Macaca mulatta: one gene and its partner. The protein of the gene in region 2 interacts with the protein of the main gene of each other region in a biochemical or structural test. Links are inferred from orthologs where the notes say so. Each region holds a gene or a part of one and is shown on either strand. Other genes may lie near its edges.

Evidence for each region.
Region 1: the proteins of EZR (region 2) and ICAM3 form a complex in vitro, tested with the Homo sapiens proteins (2 studies listed by BioGRID). The link is inferred for Macaca mulatta from reciprocal best matches to the Homo sapiens genes EZR and ICAM3.

The regions. Positions count from the first base shown.
Region 1 is NC_133424.1:11,060,282-11,069,288, forward strand, and holds the start of ICAM3 (intercellular adhesion molecule 3), read right to left. Parts: upstream 4,963-9,007; 5' UTR 4,902-4,962; coding exon 4,826-4,901; exon of another isoform or gene 4,569-4,825; intron 4,238-4,568; exon of another isoform or gene 3,894-4,237; coding exon 3,627-3,893; exon of another isoform or gene 3,427-3,626; intron 1-3,426. UniProt on the Homo sapiens protein: ICAM proteins are ligands for the leukocyte adhesion protein LFA-1 (integrin alpha-L/beta-2). ICAM3 is also a ligand for integrin alpha-D/beta-2. In association with integrin alpha-L/beta-2, contributes to apoptotic neutrophil phagocytosis by macrophages.
Region 2 is NC_133409.1:77,678,878-77,687,752, reverse strand, and holds the start of EZR (ezrin), read left to right. Parts: upstream 1-3,067; 5' UTR 3,068-3,121; intron 3,122-4,231; 5' UTR 4,232-4,304; coding exon 4,305-4,316; intron 4,317-8,875. UniProt on the Homo sapiens protein: Probably involved in connections of major cytoskeletal structures to the plasma membrane. In epithelial cells, required for the formation of microvilli and membrane ruffles on the apical pole. Along with PLEKHG6, required for normal macropinocytosis.

The DNA of each region.
Region 1 (9,007 bases), on a different chromosome or scaffold from region 2:
ATTTTTAGTAGATGGGATTTCACCATGTTGGCCAGGCTGATCTTGAACTCCTGGCCTCAAGTGATTCACCCACCTCAGCCTCCCAAAGTGTTGGGATTACAGGTGTGAGCCACAGCGCCTGGCCTTTTTCTCTTTTATGGATGGAGAAATATATAGCCCAGAGAGGGGAGGTGAATTACTTAAGGACGCACAAACGGTAAGTAGCAGAGGCGCCTCCTGGATATCATGTCTAGGGACTCTGTTGGCCCCTTCTCCTAGCTTCTGGCCTGAACACCTGCTTTGGCCTCTACCAGAGATTAGTTCAGTTCTCTCCAAGCAGGTTCAGACACTCAGGGCTTTCCTGGTTCACCAGCCCTGTGGCAGCCTCTCAAGATGCTCTGGTACAGTCACAGGAGACTTGACACTCCCAGGCTGGGTGCCCTCCCAGGTACACCTACAAAACCCTGGGCCTCAGGGTGGGCACTGTGGCTCATGTTTGTAATCCCAGCACTTTGGGAGGCCAAGATGGGCAGATCACCTGAGACCAGGAGTTCAAGACCAGCCTTGCCAACATGGTGAAACCCCGTCTCTACTAAAAATACAAAAATTAGCCAGGCGTGGTAGCACGTGCCTGTAATCCCAGCTACTCAGGAGGCTGAGGCACGAGAATCACTGGAACCCAGGAGGCAAAGGTTGCAGTGAGCTGAGATAGTGCCACTGCACTCCAGCCTGGTGACAGAGTGGGACTCTATGTCAAAAAAAAAAAAAAAAAAAAAAAAGAGCTAGGTGACTCACGCCTGTAATCCCACCACTTTGGGAGGCCGAGGGAGGCGGATCACTTGAGGTCAGGAGTTTGAGACCAACCTGGCCAACTTGGCAAAACCCTGTCTCTACTAAAAATCAATACAAAAATTAGCCAGGCGTGGTGGCACATGCCTGTGATCCCAATTACTAAGGAGGCTAAGACAGGAGAATCACTTGAACCCAGGAGGCAGAGTTTGCAGTGAGCTGACATCGCGCCATTGCACTCCAGCCTGGGGGACAAGAGCAAGACTCCGTCTCAAAGGATAAAAAAAATAAAATCAAAAAGTAGGCCAGGCATGGTGGCTCACGCTTGTAATCCCAGCACTTTGGGAGGCCAAGGCACTTGAGGCCAGGAGTTTGAGACCAGCCTGGGCAACATGGTGAAATCCCGTCTCTACTAAAAATAAAAAAATTAGCTGGGCGTGGTGGTGCACACCCGTAGTCCCAGCTACTCAGCAGGCTGAGGCAGGAAAATCTCTTGAACTTGGGAGGTGGAGGTTGCAGTGAGCTGAGATCGTGCCACTGCACTCCAGCCTGGGCAACAGAGTGAGACTCCATCTCCAAAAAAAAAAAAAAAAGAAGAAGAAGAAAAGGCCAGGCATGGTGGCTCACGCCTGTAATCCCAGCACTTTGGGAGGTCGAGGCAGGTGGATCATGAGGTCAGAAGTTCGAGACCAGCTTGACCAACATGTTGAAACCTTGTCTCTACTAAAAATACAAAAATGAGCCGGGCATGTTGGCATGTGCCTATAATCGCAGCTACTCAGGAGGCTGAGGCAGGAGAATCGCTTGAACCCGGGAGGCAGAGGTTGCAGTGAGCCACGATTGCACCACTGCACTCCAGCCTAGGGGACAGAGCAAGACTCCGTCTCAAAAAAAAAAAAAGAAAAAGAAAAAAAAAAAGTAGCCAGGTACAGTGGCTCAGGCCTGCAATCCCAGCTACTGGAGAGCTGAAGAGGATTGCATGAGCCCAGGAGTTTGAGACCAACCTGGGCAATATAGGGAGAGCCTGTCTCTAAAATAAAAGTATAAAAAAGTGTAAATATAAAACCTCTATTCACCTACTGCTGACTGAAAGGGGTACCCCCTTTTTTTTGCTTAAGAGACAGGGTCTTACTTTTTCGCGCAGGCTGGAGTGCAGTGGTGCAATTATAGCTCACTATAGCCTTGAACTCCTGGGCTCAAGCAACTCTCCCACCTCGGCCCCCCAAGTAGCTGAGACTTCGGGCATGTACCACCATGCCCAGCTAATTTTTTTTTTTTTTTTTTTTGAGACGGAGTCTCACTCTGTCGCCCAGGCTGGAGTGCAGTGGCGCAATCTCCACTCACTGCAAGCTCCATCGCCTCCCGGGTTAATGCCATTTTCCTGCCTCAGCCTCCCTAGAAGCTGGGACTACAGGTGCCCACCACCACACCCGGCTACTTTTTTTGTATTTTCAATAGAGATGGGGTTTCACGGTGTTTGCCAGGATGGTCTCGATCTTCTGACCTCGTGGTCCGCCCACCTCGGCCTCCCAAAGTGCTGGGATTACAGGTGTGAGCCACCACGCCCGGCCCCAGCTAATATTTTTTATTTATTTTTGTAGAGACAAGGTGTCCCTATGTTGCTCAGCCTGGTCTTAAATTTCTGGGCTCAAGCAATCTTCCTGCCTTGGCCTCCCAAAGTGTTGAAATTATTGTTGGGGTCAGGCAAGGTGGCTCACACCTGTAATCCCAGCATTTCGAGAGGCCAAGGTGGACAGATCACAAGGTCAGGAGTTAAAGACCAGCCTGGCTAACATGGTGAAACCCCATCTCTACAAAAAATACAAAAATTAGCTGGGCATGCTGGCGCATGCCTATAATCCCAGCTACTTGGGAGGCTGAGGCAGGAGAATGCTTGAACTGGGACCTGGGAGGCAGAGGTCGTGGTGAGCCAAGATGGCACCGCTGCACTCCAGTCTGGGCTACAGAGCAACAGACTTCATCTCAAAAAAAAAAAAAAAAACTTGTTGGGGCAGGGTGCAGTGGCTCATGCCTGTAATCCCAGCACTTCGGGAGACCAAAGCAGGCGGATTACCTGAGGTGAGGAGTTCAAGACCAGACTGGCCAACATGATGAAATGCCATCTCAGGCGGGCGCAGTGGCTCAAGCCTGTAATCCCCGCACTTTGGGAGGCCAAGATGGGCGGATCACGAGGTCAGGAGATCGAGACCATCCTGGCTAACACGTTGAAACCCCGTCTCTACTAAAAAAAATACAAAAAAACTAGCCGGGCGAGGTGGCGGGCGCCTGTAGTCCCAGCTACTCGGGAGGCTGAGGCAGGAGAATGGCATAAGCCCGGGAGGCGGAGCTTGCAGTGAGCTGAGATCCGGCCACTGCACTCCAGCCTGGGCTGGACAGAGCCAGACTCCGTCTCAAAAAAAAAAGAAAAAGAAATGCCATCTCTACTAAAAATACAAAATTACCCGGGTGTGGTGGCGTGCATGTGTAATCCCAGCCACTCGGGAGGCCGAGGCAGGAGAATCACTTGAACCCAGGAGGCGAAGGTTGCAGTGAGCCGAGATTGCGCCACTGCACTCCAGCCTGGGCAAAAAGAGCGAAACTCTGTCTCAAAAAAAAAAAAAAAAAAAAAATGTTGGTTGGGGCCCAAGTTAATTGATTTCACAACTGCTGCCTTGGCATGAGATTGAGATGTGTCTCTATGTCTTTGTATCTCACACACACAAATGTCCAGGTCTGAGCTCTGGGTCAGAATCCTGGTCCATTCTTTGCAAACTGAGGGTCTCCATTCTCCTGAGCCATCGGCCATCTGCCCACACCACTACCCAACACCAGTCCCACCTCCGGACACATCGACTCACTGTACACGGTGATGTCAGAGAAGCCTGTTATCTGGGAGCCATTGCAGTACCCTGAACAGAGGATCCGACTGTTGCCAGTCACGTTGCTGAGCTGGAAGGCTGCCCAGCCTGTGCCATTGTCCACCAGCTCCTTTGATAGGGACGTCTCCAAGATGATTTTCTTAGAGCTGGGGCAATCAGTACTGCAGTTCACCAACAGGGACCCTCCAGCAGGAAACACAGGGTTCTGGGGCTCCACCCGCAGCAGGAACTCCTGCCCCTGGGCACCTTCAGGAACATGAAGAAATCCTGGTGTTTGTTTTGTTGCCCCCCAACCCGCGTATCAGCAGGCCCCACCATTTAACACCTCTTTCCTTGTGCCGAGATAGAAGGGTTCCCACCCTCATGGTCCAGTGGGAAAGGCAGAATCCATCAGGGACCAGGGAGAACTCAGAAGGAGGCCAGAAGAGGCTCTGATCCAGCATAGGAGGAGGTGAGTCAGGGAAGGCTTCCTGGAGGAGGAGACCATGCCAGCCTGAAACTGAAAGCTAAGTAAGAGTTAGCAAGTGAAAGGGACAGGTGATCCTGGCAGAGGGAACCACATACGCAAAGGGCAAATTTCAGGAGTTCAGGCCGGGCGCGGTGGCTCAAGCCTGTAATCCCAGCACTTTGGGAGGCCGAGACGGGCGGATCATGAGGTCAGGAGATCGAGACCATCCTGGCTAACACAGTGAAACCCCGTCTCTACTAAAATACAAAAAAAAACTAGCCGGGCGAGGTGGCGGGCGCCTGTAGTCCCAGCTACTCGGGAGGCTGAGGCAGGAGAATGGCGTGAACCCGGGAGGCGGAGCTTGCAGTGAGCTGAGATCCGGCCACTGCACTCCAGCCTGGGCGACAGAGCGAGACTCCGTCTCAAAAAAAAAAAAAAAAAAAAAAAAAAAAAAAAAAATTTCAGGAGTTCAGATGGAGCAGGAAGCGTGAGGGGTGTGTGTGTGTGTGTGTGTGTGTGTTGGGGAAGAGGGATGGCGTAGAAGCCGTATGCTGGGGCCTGACCACCTGAAGGCAGAACTAAGGAACCAGAACTTTCTCCCGAGGATACGGGGTCAGCAGCCAGGTCGCAGTGTGGCAGGATGCAAAGAGTGTTGCATTCTCTTCCTCCACCTTCTACTGAGCCCCAAAACCCAGCCCTCTCCAGCCCTCCTGGGCTTGACCAGCCTCACCTGGGGTCAGCAGACAGCAGACCAGCAGAGTCCAGCAGGCCCCGGGCCACGATACGGATGGTACTATGGTGGCCATTCTGACAGAAGAAGGTGCCTTCCTGAGGTGCCCCAAGGGCAGGCAGGGGGAAAGGCGGGGCCTCCCACTGAGACGGAAGCATAGCGGTTAAGATTGCAGAAGTCTGGGGACTGCACCTTACCCAGGCCTGTGGGGAGAAGGGGATGCTGTGGCCCTGGGGGGCTAGAATGGGGGACCCAGACGGGGCTCTGCAAAGTGGCCAGCACTGCTGAGTCTCCCCCAGGGACAGGGCTGGTCTCAGTTGCACTGCTGGCCCCCAGTTCCTAGCCAGGAAATGCTAACTGAACTGGCTTCCTTTGTTCTCAGCACTGGGAAGCCTGGGTGTGGGGGTATGAGGCATCTCCTTCCGGCTGAACTTAGGTGGGGAGGGGAATATTCTGTTCCCAGAGAGGAAGTTAATGGGGGAAACCTGTAGGCACCACTGTTTAGATGCTAAGGTGGGATTTCAAGGAAACATAAAACAAACAAACAAACAAACAAAAAAACCAGAAGCAGAGTCTTGCTATGTTGCCCCGACTGGTCTTGAGCTCCTGGCCTTGAGATGGCCTCCTCCCATCCTGACCTCCCAAAGTGTTGCGGTTACAGGCGTGAGCCACAACGCCTGGCCACCTTTGAAGATCTTGAGGACATCTCCCTATCTTTGAAGATTTTGGGGATCCCCCCTCCCATGCACGAAGAGCTAAGGTAGGTGATTTGGGGACAGCTGAGTCCCTGAGCCACTGTCTTTCCAGGATTCGATTTGGCTTTTGTTTTGTTTTGAGACAGGGTCTCACTCTGTTGCCCAGGCTGGAGTGCAGTAGTGGGATCTCGGCTCACTGCAGCCTCTGCCTCCCTGGTTCAAACAATTCTCCTGCCTCAGCCTCCCGAGTAGCTGGGATTACAGGCATGTGCCATCATGCCCGGCTAATTTTTGTACTTTTTGGTAAGAGATGGGGTTTCACCATGTTGGCCAAGCTGGTCTCAAACTTCTGACCTCAAGTGAGTCGCCTGCCTTGGCCTCCCAAAGTGCTGGGATTACAGGCATAAGCCACCTCGCCCAACCTTCCAGGATTCTACTTGTAACTGGCCTTTACCTCATCCTGTTGCCCCCTTGCCCACCTTTCCAGGCAGCTGGTCACTTCATTCCAAGGGAAGGCACCAAGGGGACCAGGGGGGACTCCCACCTTTGACCTGCTGCTGACCTCAGGCCTCTGACCTGTCTTCTGGGCCTAACATCTGAGCACCAGAGAGGGACCTTGTTGAGGGCCTTGATGGAGCCCTGCGTTCACCCACTTTTCCCAGAGCTTGAGGTCACAGCACCTCCTCTCTCATCTGGAGCACCCCCACCTTCCTAATCAGGTCCCTCCTCTATTCCTCTGCCTTCCGAACAATTCATTTCCCACCTAGTGTTGAGAGAGCAGCTAAAACCCAAGTCTAGTGTATTTGTAAATAGCAGGGCCCAGTAGCATGGACCTGGTGCCTGTAGTCCCAGCTCCTTGGAAGGCTGAGGAGAGGATCGCTTGAGCCTGGGAGATCAAAGCTGCAGTGAGCTGAGATTGTGCCCCTGCACTCCAGCCTAGGCGACACAGTGAGACCCTGTTTCCAAAAAAAATAATAATAAAATAAAATAAAAAAGATGCCAGACTTAGTGGCTCAAGTCTGTAATCCCAGCAGAACTTTGGGAGGCTGAGGTGGGCAGATCAAGAGGTCAGGAAATCGAGACCGTCCTGGCTAACACAGTGAAACCCCGTTTCCACCAAAAATATAAAAAATTAGCTGGACGTTGTGGCGGGCGCCTGTAGTCCCAGCAACTCGGGAGGCTGAAGCAGAAGAATCACTTGAACCCGGGAGGCAGAGGTTGTAGTGAGCGGAGATTGTGCCGCTGCACTACAGCCTGGGTGACAGAGCAAGACTCCGTCTCAAAAATACATACATACATATATATATATATATATATATATATATATATATATATAAAATATATATTATATATTATAGATATGATTTATAATAATTATGTAATAGTGAGACCCCGTTTCTAAAAATAAAAAAGAAAGAAATATTTGTAAATAAGTAATATTTCTTTTTTGTTTTTTGAAACAGAGTCTCACTGTGTCACCCAGGCTGGAGTGCAGGGGCGCAATCTCAGCTAACTGTAATCTCAGCCTCCTGAGTTCAAGCGATCCTCCCACCTCAGCCTCCCTAGGATCTGGGACCACAGGTGCACACCACCATGCCTGGCTAATTTTTTGTAGAGACGGCTTTCATCATATTGCCCAGGTTGGTCTTGAACTCCTAAGCTTAGGGGATCTGCCTGCCTTGACCTCCCAAAGTGCTGGGATTATCAGTGTACCCTTCTACACCCTCCAGTAATATTTCTGATGATGAAGTATTTCTGGGCCAGGAGTGGTGTCTCACACCTGTAATCCTAGCACTTTGGGAGGTCAAGATGGGTGGATCCCTTGAGGTCGGGAGTTCCAGACCAGCCTGGGCAGCATGCCAAAACCCTGTCTCTACTAAAAATACAAAAAATCAGCCAAGCTTGATGGCACACACCTGTAGTCCCAGCTACTCAGGAGGCTGCAGCAGGAGGATTGCTTGAGTCGGGGAAGTGGAGGTTGCAGTTAGCTGAGATTGTGCCCCTGCACTCCAGTCTGGGCGGCAGAGAAAGGTCACCTACACATGTTTAAGGAGCTCCTGCACATATCTCAAGCCGTTGACAAGAAAGCAAATACAGTCTGGATTGCAAACAGTGTATAAATTAAACTCCAGCTGTTTTTTTTTTTGTTTTTTTTTTTTTTGAGACAGGGTCTGACTCTGTCACCCAGGCTGGAGTGCAGTGGCACAGTCTGGGGCTCACTGCAACCTCTGCCTCCCAGGTTCAAGTGATTATCCCACCTCAGCTTCCTGAGTAGCTGGGATTATAGGCACGCACCACCACACCCAGCTAATTTTTTGTATTTTTAGTAGAGACAGGGTTTCTTTTTTTTTTTTTTTTTTTTTTTTTTTGAGATGGAGTCTCGCTCTGCCGCCCAGGCTGGAGTGCAGTGGCCGGATCTCTGCTCACTGCAAGCTCCGCCTCCCGGGTTCACGCCATTCTCCTGCCTCAGCCTCCCGAGTAGCTGGGACTACAGGCGCCCACCACCGCGCCCGGCTAGTTTTTTGTATTTTTTAGTAGAGACGGGGTTTCACCATGTTAGCCAGGATGGTCTCAATCTCCTGACCTCGGCCATGTTAGCCAGGATGGTCTCGATCTCCTGACCTCGTGATCCGCCCGCCTCGGCCTCCCAAAGTGCTGGGATTACAGGCTTGAGCCACCGCGCCCGGCCGAGACAGGGTTTCACCGTGTTGACCAGGCTAGTCTCGAACTCCTGACCTCAGGTGATCCGCCTGCCTTGGCCTCCCAAAGTGCTAGGATTACAGGCCTGAGCTACCACAACTGGCCTCCAGCTGATTTTTGACAGCCACATTGTTGCTATAGTATCCTTTTTAGGAGTGATGGTGATGGTCTCTGGTTCTCCTCATTCCCACAAAGGTTGTTGAACCACAGCACCAGTAACACTGAGAATGCTAAGGGCTGTAACCCAGGCTTTCTCCCAGGTTCTCTGGTGTGTGCCCTCCTGGTGACAATGAAATTGAAGCTAATTGCTTTCACTGGTTGAGTCTCTGATCTTGAGTGGCTGTGTCCACATTTCTTTTTTTTTTTTTTTTTCTGGTAGGAATAACTACTTTTCTGCATCCATACTCCATAGACTCTGTCATTTTCAGACATCCTGGGATGAAAAGATTTGGCTTTTTTTTTTTTTTTTTTTTTTTTTTTTTCCTGAGACAGGGTCTGGCTGTGCTGCCCAGGCTGGAACGCAGTGGCTTAATCATGGCTCACTGCAACCTTGACCTCACAGGCTCAGGTGATCCTCCCACTTCAGCCTCCCTAGAAACTGGGACTATAGGTAGGTGCCACTACACTCGGCTCATTTTTGTATTTTTTCGTTTTTTTTTTTTTTTTTTGAGACAGAGTCTCGCTCTGTCACCCAGGCTGGAGTGCAGTGGCCGGATCTCAGCTCACTGCAAGCTCCGCCTCCCGGGTTTACGCCATTCTCCTGCCTCAGCCTCCCAAGTAGCTGGGA
Region 2 (8,875 bases):
TTTATACTATTTTAACTTAAGAAAAATTATATAGCATCCCTCTGTATCCACAGATTGGTTTCAAGACCTCTGAGGATGCCAAAATTCTGCAATGACCAAGTTCCTGACAAAAAACGGTATAGTATTTGCATATAACGTACAAAATCCTCCTGCATATCTTAAATCATCTCCAGATTACCTATGTCATATAATGTTACTACTTGTTATACTATATTCTGTATTGGATTTTTATTAGTATTTTAATTGTAATTTTTTTTTTAATTTTTTCCAAATCTTTTCCATCCAACGTTGGCTGATTCCATGAATGCAGAACCCACAAATACAGAGGGCTGATTGTACATATAAGTTGGGTGAGTTAAATGCTCATATGATACGACTCAGTGACACAAGAATACCATGAAATACATATTATCATTTCCGTTTTACAGATGAAGAGACGGATGCTGAGTCAGGTTGACAGACTTGCCCAAACTAACCATGTTGGAAGTACAGGAAGCAGAATTCAGACTTAGTTCTGTTTGCCTCAAAAACCTGCCATCGTTTCATTTTTATTTTATTTTATTTATTTTTTGAGACGGAGTTTCGCTCTTGTTGTCCAGGTTGGAGTGCAATGGTGCGATCTCAGCTCACCACAACCTCCACCTCCCGGTTGGTTTCAAGCGATTCTCCTGCCTCAGGCTCCCAAGTAGCTGGGGTTACAGGCATGTGCTACCATGCCCAGCTAACTTTTTGTATTTTTAGTAGAAATGGGGTTTCCCCACGTTGGCCAGGCTGTCTCGAACTCCTGACCTCAGGTGATTCGCTCGCCTCAGCCTCCCAAAGTGCTGGGATTACAGGCTTGAGTCATCGCACCCGGCCATTTCATTTTTACCACACTGCCACAGGCCACTTCATTTTTCAGCATTCCCCTAAAGGGTAAAGTTCAGAAATGCTCTTCAAGGTCTTGGGGCACGGCTATTTCAAATATTCAATTTATAAGACAGTATACTTCAAACAGAGTGAGATAAAAATTAGATTAGAGGCATATTCTATTATCAGAGTTAGGAACCCAAATTGGCTAACCAGGCTCTAGGCAATGATAAGGCGGTGGAGGTACTGATGTCCAATTGGAAACATTATCAGTACAGGTATTTTAAATAGCTTTCATAGTTTCCTTTCTACTGCAGTTACCATTATATCTTCATTTTATTTATTTATTTATTTTTGAGACGGAGTTTTGTTCTTGTTGCCCAGGCTGGAGTGCAATAGCACCATCTCAGCTTACCGCAACCTCCACCTTCCAGGTTCAAGCAATTCTCCTGCCTCAGCCTCCCGAGTAGCTGGGACTACAGGTGCGCACCACCAAGCCCAGCTAATTCTGTACTTTTAGTAGAGATGGGGTTTCTCCATGTTGGTCAGGCTGGTCTTGAACTCCCGACCTCAGGTGTTCCACCTGCCTCAGCCTCCCAAAGTTCTGGGATTACAGGCGTGAGCCACCGTGCCTGGCCTATATCTTCATTTTAATAAAAAAGAAATTCAGGCCAGGCGCGGTGGCTCACACCTGTAATCCTAGCACTTTGGGAGGCCGAGGTGAGCGGATCACCTGAAGTCAGGAGTTCAAAACCAGCCTGGCCAACATGGTAAAACTCCATCTCTACTAAAAATACAAAAAATTAGCTGGGCGTGGTGGCGGGTGTCTGTAATCCCAGCTATTGGAGAGGCTGAGGCAGGAGAATTGCTTGAACCTGGGAGACAGAGGTTGCAGTGAGCCGAGATTGCGCCATTGCACTCCAGCCTGGGCAACAAGAGTGAAACTCCGTCTAAAAAAAAAAGGAAAGGAAAGGAAAGAAATTCAGTCTTTCAGAGGGAATACACTTACCTGAATAGAGGTCAAAGTCTCAGAAGAGGCCTCCCTCCTCTCTCTGACCTCTGAAATGCCCTGGACCTGCAAGTGGGAGATTACAGGCCCTGACAAGGGTTGCCCAAACAGCAGTGTGGCACTAGGAAGGCAGGTTAAGCATCAATTACTATGATGCTAGCACAACTTAAGCACTCTGCATGCACAATCTCATTTAATCCTTACAAGTGTATGTAGGAGGGGCTACTAGTATGTTCATTCAACAAACTGGGATACAGAGTTTGGAACTTCACCCAAAGTCACTAGTTTCTCTACCAGGATAGATTTAAGTGCTTACTGTCAGGTACTGTTCCAGGCATCTTATATGTACTAACTCATTATCCCCATTACAACCCTCTGATACAGGTGCCATAATTATGCCACTTTACAGACGAGAAAACTAAAAGCAGAAAGGGAGCAGTAAACCCAGGAGATGAATTCTGGAGAAGCTCTCTGGTTTCAACCCTTAGCCAACATCACAATCACCTGAAGGGCTTGTAATACACTGATTGCTGGGCCCAGTCCTAGAGTTTCTGAATCCTAAGGCTGAGCAACACCTAATTTCCACTTCTGCAAGTTCCCAGTGAATGCTGTTGCTGCTCGTCTGGAAGCCAGACGTTGAGAACCCCTTCTAGAGTGAGGTCTCCCGCAACAAATTCTACCGGCCCCCAAAGCACGTGTTTTGTGTGTCTTAAAAATTTGTTGAGTACCATTAGCAAAAAACAAACAAAAAAACTTAATTCCTAGAATTGCAGAGAAATCCCATGGAGTTTTTTGCTAGTCACGTCAAAAGAGGCCACAAAGTGCCGCTTAACCAGAGCTTCGGAAGACAGCGGCTGGGCCGGCCACGTGCACCGAGACTTGGGGCCAGGTGCAGCCGCCCCAGGGCCGGGGTATCGGAAAGGGCCCCCGGTCCCAGCCCCAAGCGGCCCAGCAATTCCCCCGGGCCGTCCGCCCCTCCAGATTTATTTACGTTTTCCTGACTTCCCCCTGCCCGCCGTGGGACAAACAGCCTCCCCACTTGCATCTGCGCTGGGAGTAGCGCGTACTTCCGCCAAATTCGCCTCCGAGCCCGAGTCCCGGCCGCCGCCATCTTGCGGGGGGCGCACCTCACAGGTCGGGAGCTGGGCGGGAAGGGGCGTGGCCCCGGGACCCGCCCCGCCAGGGCTCTTGGGAGCGCGGGCAGCCAGCGCACTCGGCGGACGCCAGGGCGGCGGGGAGCACACGGAGCACTGCAGGCGTCGGGTGAGGCGTACGGCGGCGGGGGTCGGGGCGGGGGTTCCTGACGGAGGGACCGGGTGGGCGGCGGGAGCTCGGATGCAGGTACGGCGGGCAGCCTGGGGGGCGCGGCGCGGGTCTCTGCCCGGCACTCGAGGGGCAGTGGAGCTGAGCCGGCCAGCGGCCCCGCGACCTTCCCCTCGGCACCAGGTCCCCTCTCCCGAAGGAAACGCGGAGCCTGGGTGCCTGGGCGCCGTCCCTTGGCGGCTCCCGGGCGGTTGCAGTTTTTGAAAGAGTTTCTCAAAGGCGTGACGGTTGCGATTGCAGCCGCGGGGCAACCGTTGCTACACAAAGTGAAACTTGCCGAGTGCTCGGCTCCTCACGGGCTTCCTGGCAGCCCTGGGAAGTTCCTCGGCTGACCCCGAGCCCGCGCCCTCTCTCCACGGACCCCTCCCCGCCGAGTGCCCCCCGGCCATGCGCCCCCTCTCCCCTGACCCCTCCCTGCCGAGTGCCCCGAGGGCTCGCGCCGGCGCTCCCGGGACTCCTTTCTCCTAGGTGATTCCCCCTGCCCCTCGCCCTCTCTCCCCCAGGCCCGCGCTCCGTCTTCCCGGGCCTTTCCCCGCCGGGTACCCCGGGCCCCGCGCCCTCTCTTCTCCACTTCTCTCAGCCAGGTGCACCTGGAGTGCCCCCCAGACCCCTTCCCGCCCGGTCGGCGCTCTTTCCCCCATCCCTCCCCGCCGAGTGTTCCCCGGGGCCCGTGCCCTCTCCCCCCGACCCTCTCCGCCGAGCGTTCCCCCTGCCCTATATCTCCCGGACCCGCGTCCCCCACCAGCCCCTTAATGCTGGGGGTCCCCGGGTGCGCACCCCCTCTCTCCGGACCCCCCCAACTGGGGGCACCTCGAGTGCCCGCCGGCTGCCCCTTGGGCGCGCGCCCCCGCGCTCAGGCCCCTCCTCGCCGGGGGCCCCGCCCGGCCGCGCCCCCTCCCCGTGCCCGCAGTGCTGGGCTGGGCGCTGACTCACCCCGGCCCGGGCTGGCCGGTTCTTAAGCGGCGGCGCGCGGCGGGCGCGGAGTGTCGGGCGCGGCAGGAGGACGAGGCAGGGCCGACCGGCGCTCTAAGGGCTCTGCTTTGACTCCAGGTTGGGACAGCGTCTCCGCTGCTGCTGGAGAGTCGTGTTTCCGGGGATCGAGGATACTCAACAGGAACCGAAAATGCCGAAACCAGTAAGTTGCCCAGTTTCTGGGACGGGCGGACGGGGGAGGCTTCATTGGCGAGGGGAGGCACCTGCACGAGGTGTTGGGACAGTTCCTGGTGGAAGAAGGCTTTTCTCACACGCAGAAGAGGATAGGAATAGGGGGTTGTCGCCGCTCTTTGTTACTTGTTGGCCCTTTTGTGGAGCGTTAGGAAAACACCATTTTGATGCTTTTCTCTGCAGTCTTTTTCTTTGTGAGCCCCCTCCCCAGTAGTTACGATCTTCTCTAAAAACTAGAGGCCCTTTTACACTGCTTCCGTCTGTTTTTAAAGGGTATGGTAATGCAACTTCGAATTTTCTTAAAAAGTCCAAATCACAGGGAGACTCAAATGGCCTCCGACCACACACACCAGCTCTCAGAGTTCCTAAGGGTCCGAAACCACAGGCGCCCAAGATCCAACTGGGGAGATTTAAAGGGCGTTTGGGAGAGGAGACTGGCTTTCGGAAGTTGCCGTTCAGCTTCGCTTCCTACGAGGCCCATGAAGCGGTGCCCTGTTCACCAGGAAACTTACTGGCTGCAGCAGAATTTCTGTCTCTTAACAGAAGGTTAGCCATGGACTTGAATTGTAGATGCAGGCAGTCGGCGGAGTTTGATGAGCGGCTCTTGGCACGCTGGGCCGAGCACTCCTGGTCAACTGATGAAAGGGCTGTGCCTGCGCCTCTGTCTCCTTGAATCTGATTGTGTTGAGATTGCTGGCTAGGCCTGGGGGTTGTAGGCAAAAGGCAGGTTCTCTGGGACTGACACTTCTTAGAAAGTTGTATGTATTCTACCTGCTTTTAACGCTGGGGAACTAGTGACTATTCGGGAGAAGGTTTAACATTTTTTGAGTTTTGAATCACAATGGACAAAATAACAGGGTTCATTACAAACTGGGATTACAGATACATCCGGATTTTTTTTCTGGTTTTTCAAACAAGTTGGTTCTGTAATCAATGATTGTGTGCCCTTTTTTTTTTTTTTTTTTTTTTGGGGGAGGTAGGTGGTGGGGAGCAGAGTCTCCCTCTGTCGCCCGGGCTGGAGTGCAGTGGCCTGATCTCAGCTCACTGCAACCTCTGCCTGTTGGGTTCAGGCGAATCTCCTGCCTCAGCCTCCCGAGTAGCTGGGATTACAGGCATGTGCCACCATGCCCAGCTAAATTGTGTATTTTTGTAGAGAGGGTGTTTCACCATGTTGGCCAGGTTGGTCTCAAACTCCCGACCTCAGGTGATCCGCCCACCTCGACCTCCCAAAATGCTAGGATTACAGGCGTGAGCCACCACACCCGGCCTTGGTGCTTTTTCTACTGTTAAATTTTATGTTCTCTAAGAAGATGTTTGTTAGAGGTATTAATTTTGCTGTTAGGTTAGAGAATATTAATATGCCAATAGATTCAGAAGCCAATATCATTTTTGCCTAAGTTACATTAAGATTTATTTGCGGTGCAGAGTATTTTCTATACAAAATTTTTCTTTTTAATTCAAACTTAAAAGTGACACGTGACATCCAGGCTTGACAGTGCATGTGGTATGAAACTGACCTAAGTACAACCCCTTACTTAGGCAGAGCTGAGTGCAAGGGTATGCAGAGGAGTGGTCAAGATTACCCTTCTGGGTGTGGTTTTCTTTATTTCACTAAAAGAAGAGATGCAGAGCTCAGCTAAGATAGCACTCAGGAAAAAGTTAACCTGTTCTTAGTCACTACTTTTCTTTCTCATAATGAATGGTAATTTATTTTTCTGGTTTCTTTTTTGTATCTTGGTAAAATATACAATTTATCCTCTTACTTTTAGGTTTACATTTCAAAGGTATTAAGTACATTTACATTGTTACATCGCCATCACCAAGGTCTATCTCCAGAACTTTTATCTTCCCAGATTGAAACTCTACCCATTAAACTCTCCCTCCCCATCCCCACCACCAGCCCTTGGCAACCACCATTCTACTTTCTGTCTCTGTGAATTCCACAACTCTAGATACCTCATATAGGTGGAATTGTGATAGCATTTGTCCTTTTATGGTAGTCTCATTTCCCGTAGCATAATGTCTTCAAGGTTATCCATGTTGCATTGTCAGAACTCCGTTCTCTCTTTTATTTCTTGTGGCAGGTATATTTTCATTTTGTTTTGTTTTAAAGGTGTTTTATGATAGATCAGAACTTAAAAGATGTTTCTGACATTTGACAAAGTGAAGATAGTTGTGAAACAGTTAAGGAAAGACAGTAGCCATCACCTTGTGTATTAGAGCTAGAGTTACTCTTTGAAAGACTGTATTTTGTATAATATCTACAATTAGAATTTTCAAACCTTTTTTGAGGCCAGGCAAGGTGGCCTGATGACAGGCATGAGCCTGTAATCCCAGCACTTTGGGAGGCTGAGGCAGGCAGATCACATGAGCCCAGCAGTTCAAGACTCGCCTGGCCAACATAGACTCTGTTTCTACAAAAAAATAGAAAAATTAGTTGGGTGTGGTGGCCTGCGCTCTGACTGAGCTATTGGGGGTGGAGGCTGAAGTGGGAGGATTGCTTGAGCCCCGGAGGTCAAGGCTGCAGTGAACTGAGATCAAGCCACTCCATTCCAGCCTGGGCAGCAGAGTGAGATGTTGTCTGAAAACAAACACAAACCTTTTTTGAGAGGCTTCCATTTAGTTCAGCCATACCTGTCTGCCATGGGAAATTTCTCCCTTCCCCTTCTTTGGCAGAGGAGGGTCTTAGAAATAAATTAAACACAGTAAGCCTTTCTGTGTGTAAATTATATTAGAGCCATCCCACAAATCACTGATAAGAGCATAGTAGGTTGCACATACTTGAATATGACACTTCGTAAGGCTGCTAGAGAGGATCCAGTTAGTTTTGGTTTGGTTTGGGGTTTTTTTGCTGCCTGAGTAAATGTTAAAATGAAACATCCACCAACAGCTCTATGGATGTGTCTTTTAAACAAAGGTTTATTGATTCTAATTATTCAAGCTCAAGTTAAGAATGTTAGCAAAGAATGTTAGGTGGTTTTGTTGGGCTTAATGTTTAACAACTGGATTAAGGGGCAACCACACTTAAAGGATGGATACCTCTGAGTACTTGGCCTTCCACCTGATTCACTGCAACTGTTAACCCTTGAATTCAACAGGCAAAGTATTTTTGATTGATTTGTCTGAACTGAGTGGATGACTTTATGCATAAAACAGTATAACTGAAAATATTTATTTGCTGTGTTTTCTCCTAATACTATTTCCCAAAAGCAACACTTACTTAAAAGACTGAGGCCGTGCACAGTGGCTCATGCCTGTAATCCCAGCTCTTTGGGAGGCCGAGGTGGGCGGATCACAAGGTCAAGAGATTAAGACTATCCTGGTCAACATGGTGAAACTAAATGTCTCTACTAAAACTACAAAAATTAGCCAGGCATGGTGGCGGGCACCTGTAGTCCCAGCTACTTTGGAGGCCGAGGCAAGAGAATCACTTGAACCCGGGAGGTGAAGATTGCAGTCAGCCGAGATTGTGCCATTGCACTCCAGCCTGGTGACGAAGCGAGACTCCATCTCAAAAAAAAGAAAAAAAAAAAGACTTGAGTGTTTGTTCATCAGCAAGCAGGGTGACCTGCACAGAGGGCGAGACAGACCTTGTCCTCTGGAAGCTTAGTGTCTGGTACCTGGGCCAAGATGCAGGTAAACGCTGAAATTGAAAACCTGCTGAGTGCTGTCAGACTGGGAAGGAGCCTAGGTAACGCGTGACACAGTCGAGAGGAAAATCATCTGATGGGGAAATCGGCAGACTATATTGAGAAGTAACACTTCAGCTGAATCTTGCTTGAGGACTGGGGGGCGCGCGTGGCAGCACTCCACAGGAACAGCTGTGGTCTGTTGTCTGGTTTTGCTTTTCCCACAGCTGCTTAGGGGACTCTATTCATGTGTGACTGGCTGACGTCCAAGGAGGGTGATTTGGGGTCCCAGAGGGAGCCTTGGCCTCTGTTCAGGCCAGTCCCCAGGACATGGTGTGCTGTGTGGCCTTGTGGGTCTGCCCCATCTGGGGAGAGGTGTAGGAGTTGGTGCTCAGATCCTTGGTCCCGGGAGCGTCCTCTCTGCCCGCCCCTTCGTGTTAGGGTGACTGCAGAGCGCCTTACTCTCACACTTGCTTTCTTCTGCCCAATGGAAAGAAAGCATGGGGAGTGAGCAAGGAAAACCACTGTAGTTAAGCTCAGGAAGGAAAAGGGTGTTGTGTTCAGGGCCGAGATCTCTTAAGCTGTCATGAGAACCATAGAGCTGAACTGCCTTTAAGTGACTCCAACACATCTTACCTGTTCATTTCTGAAGTGTTCTTACAGACATTTCTAATATAAAAGCAGGTTTACCTTTCATTAGGAAAACTCTGAAAGCGTGTTCACATTTCTACTGTGCCAAAATTTTAAGGTAATTTCTGAGATTACCTTACTTCTTTGGGAATACATAGCCTTTTTGTTTGTTTGTTTGTTTGTTTGAGACGGAGTCTTGCTGTCGCCCGGGCTGGAGTGCAGTGGCCGAATCTCAGCTCACTGCAAGCTCTGCCTCCCAGGTTTACGCCAT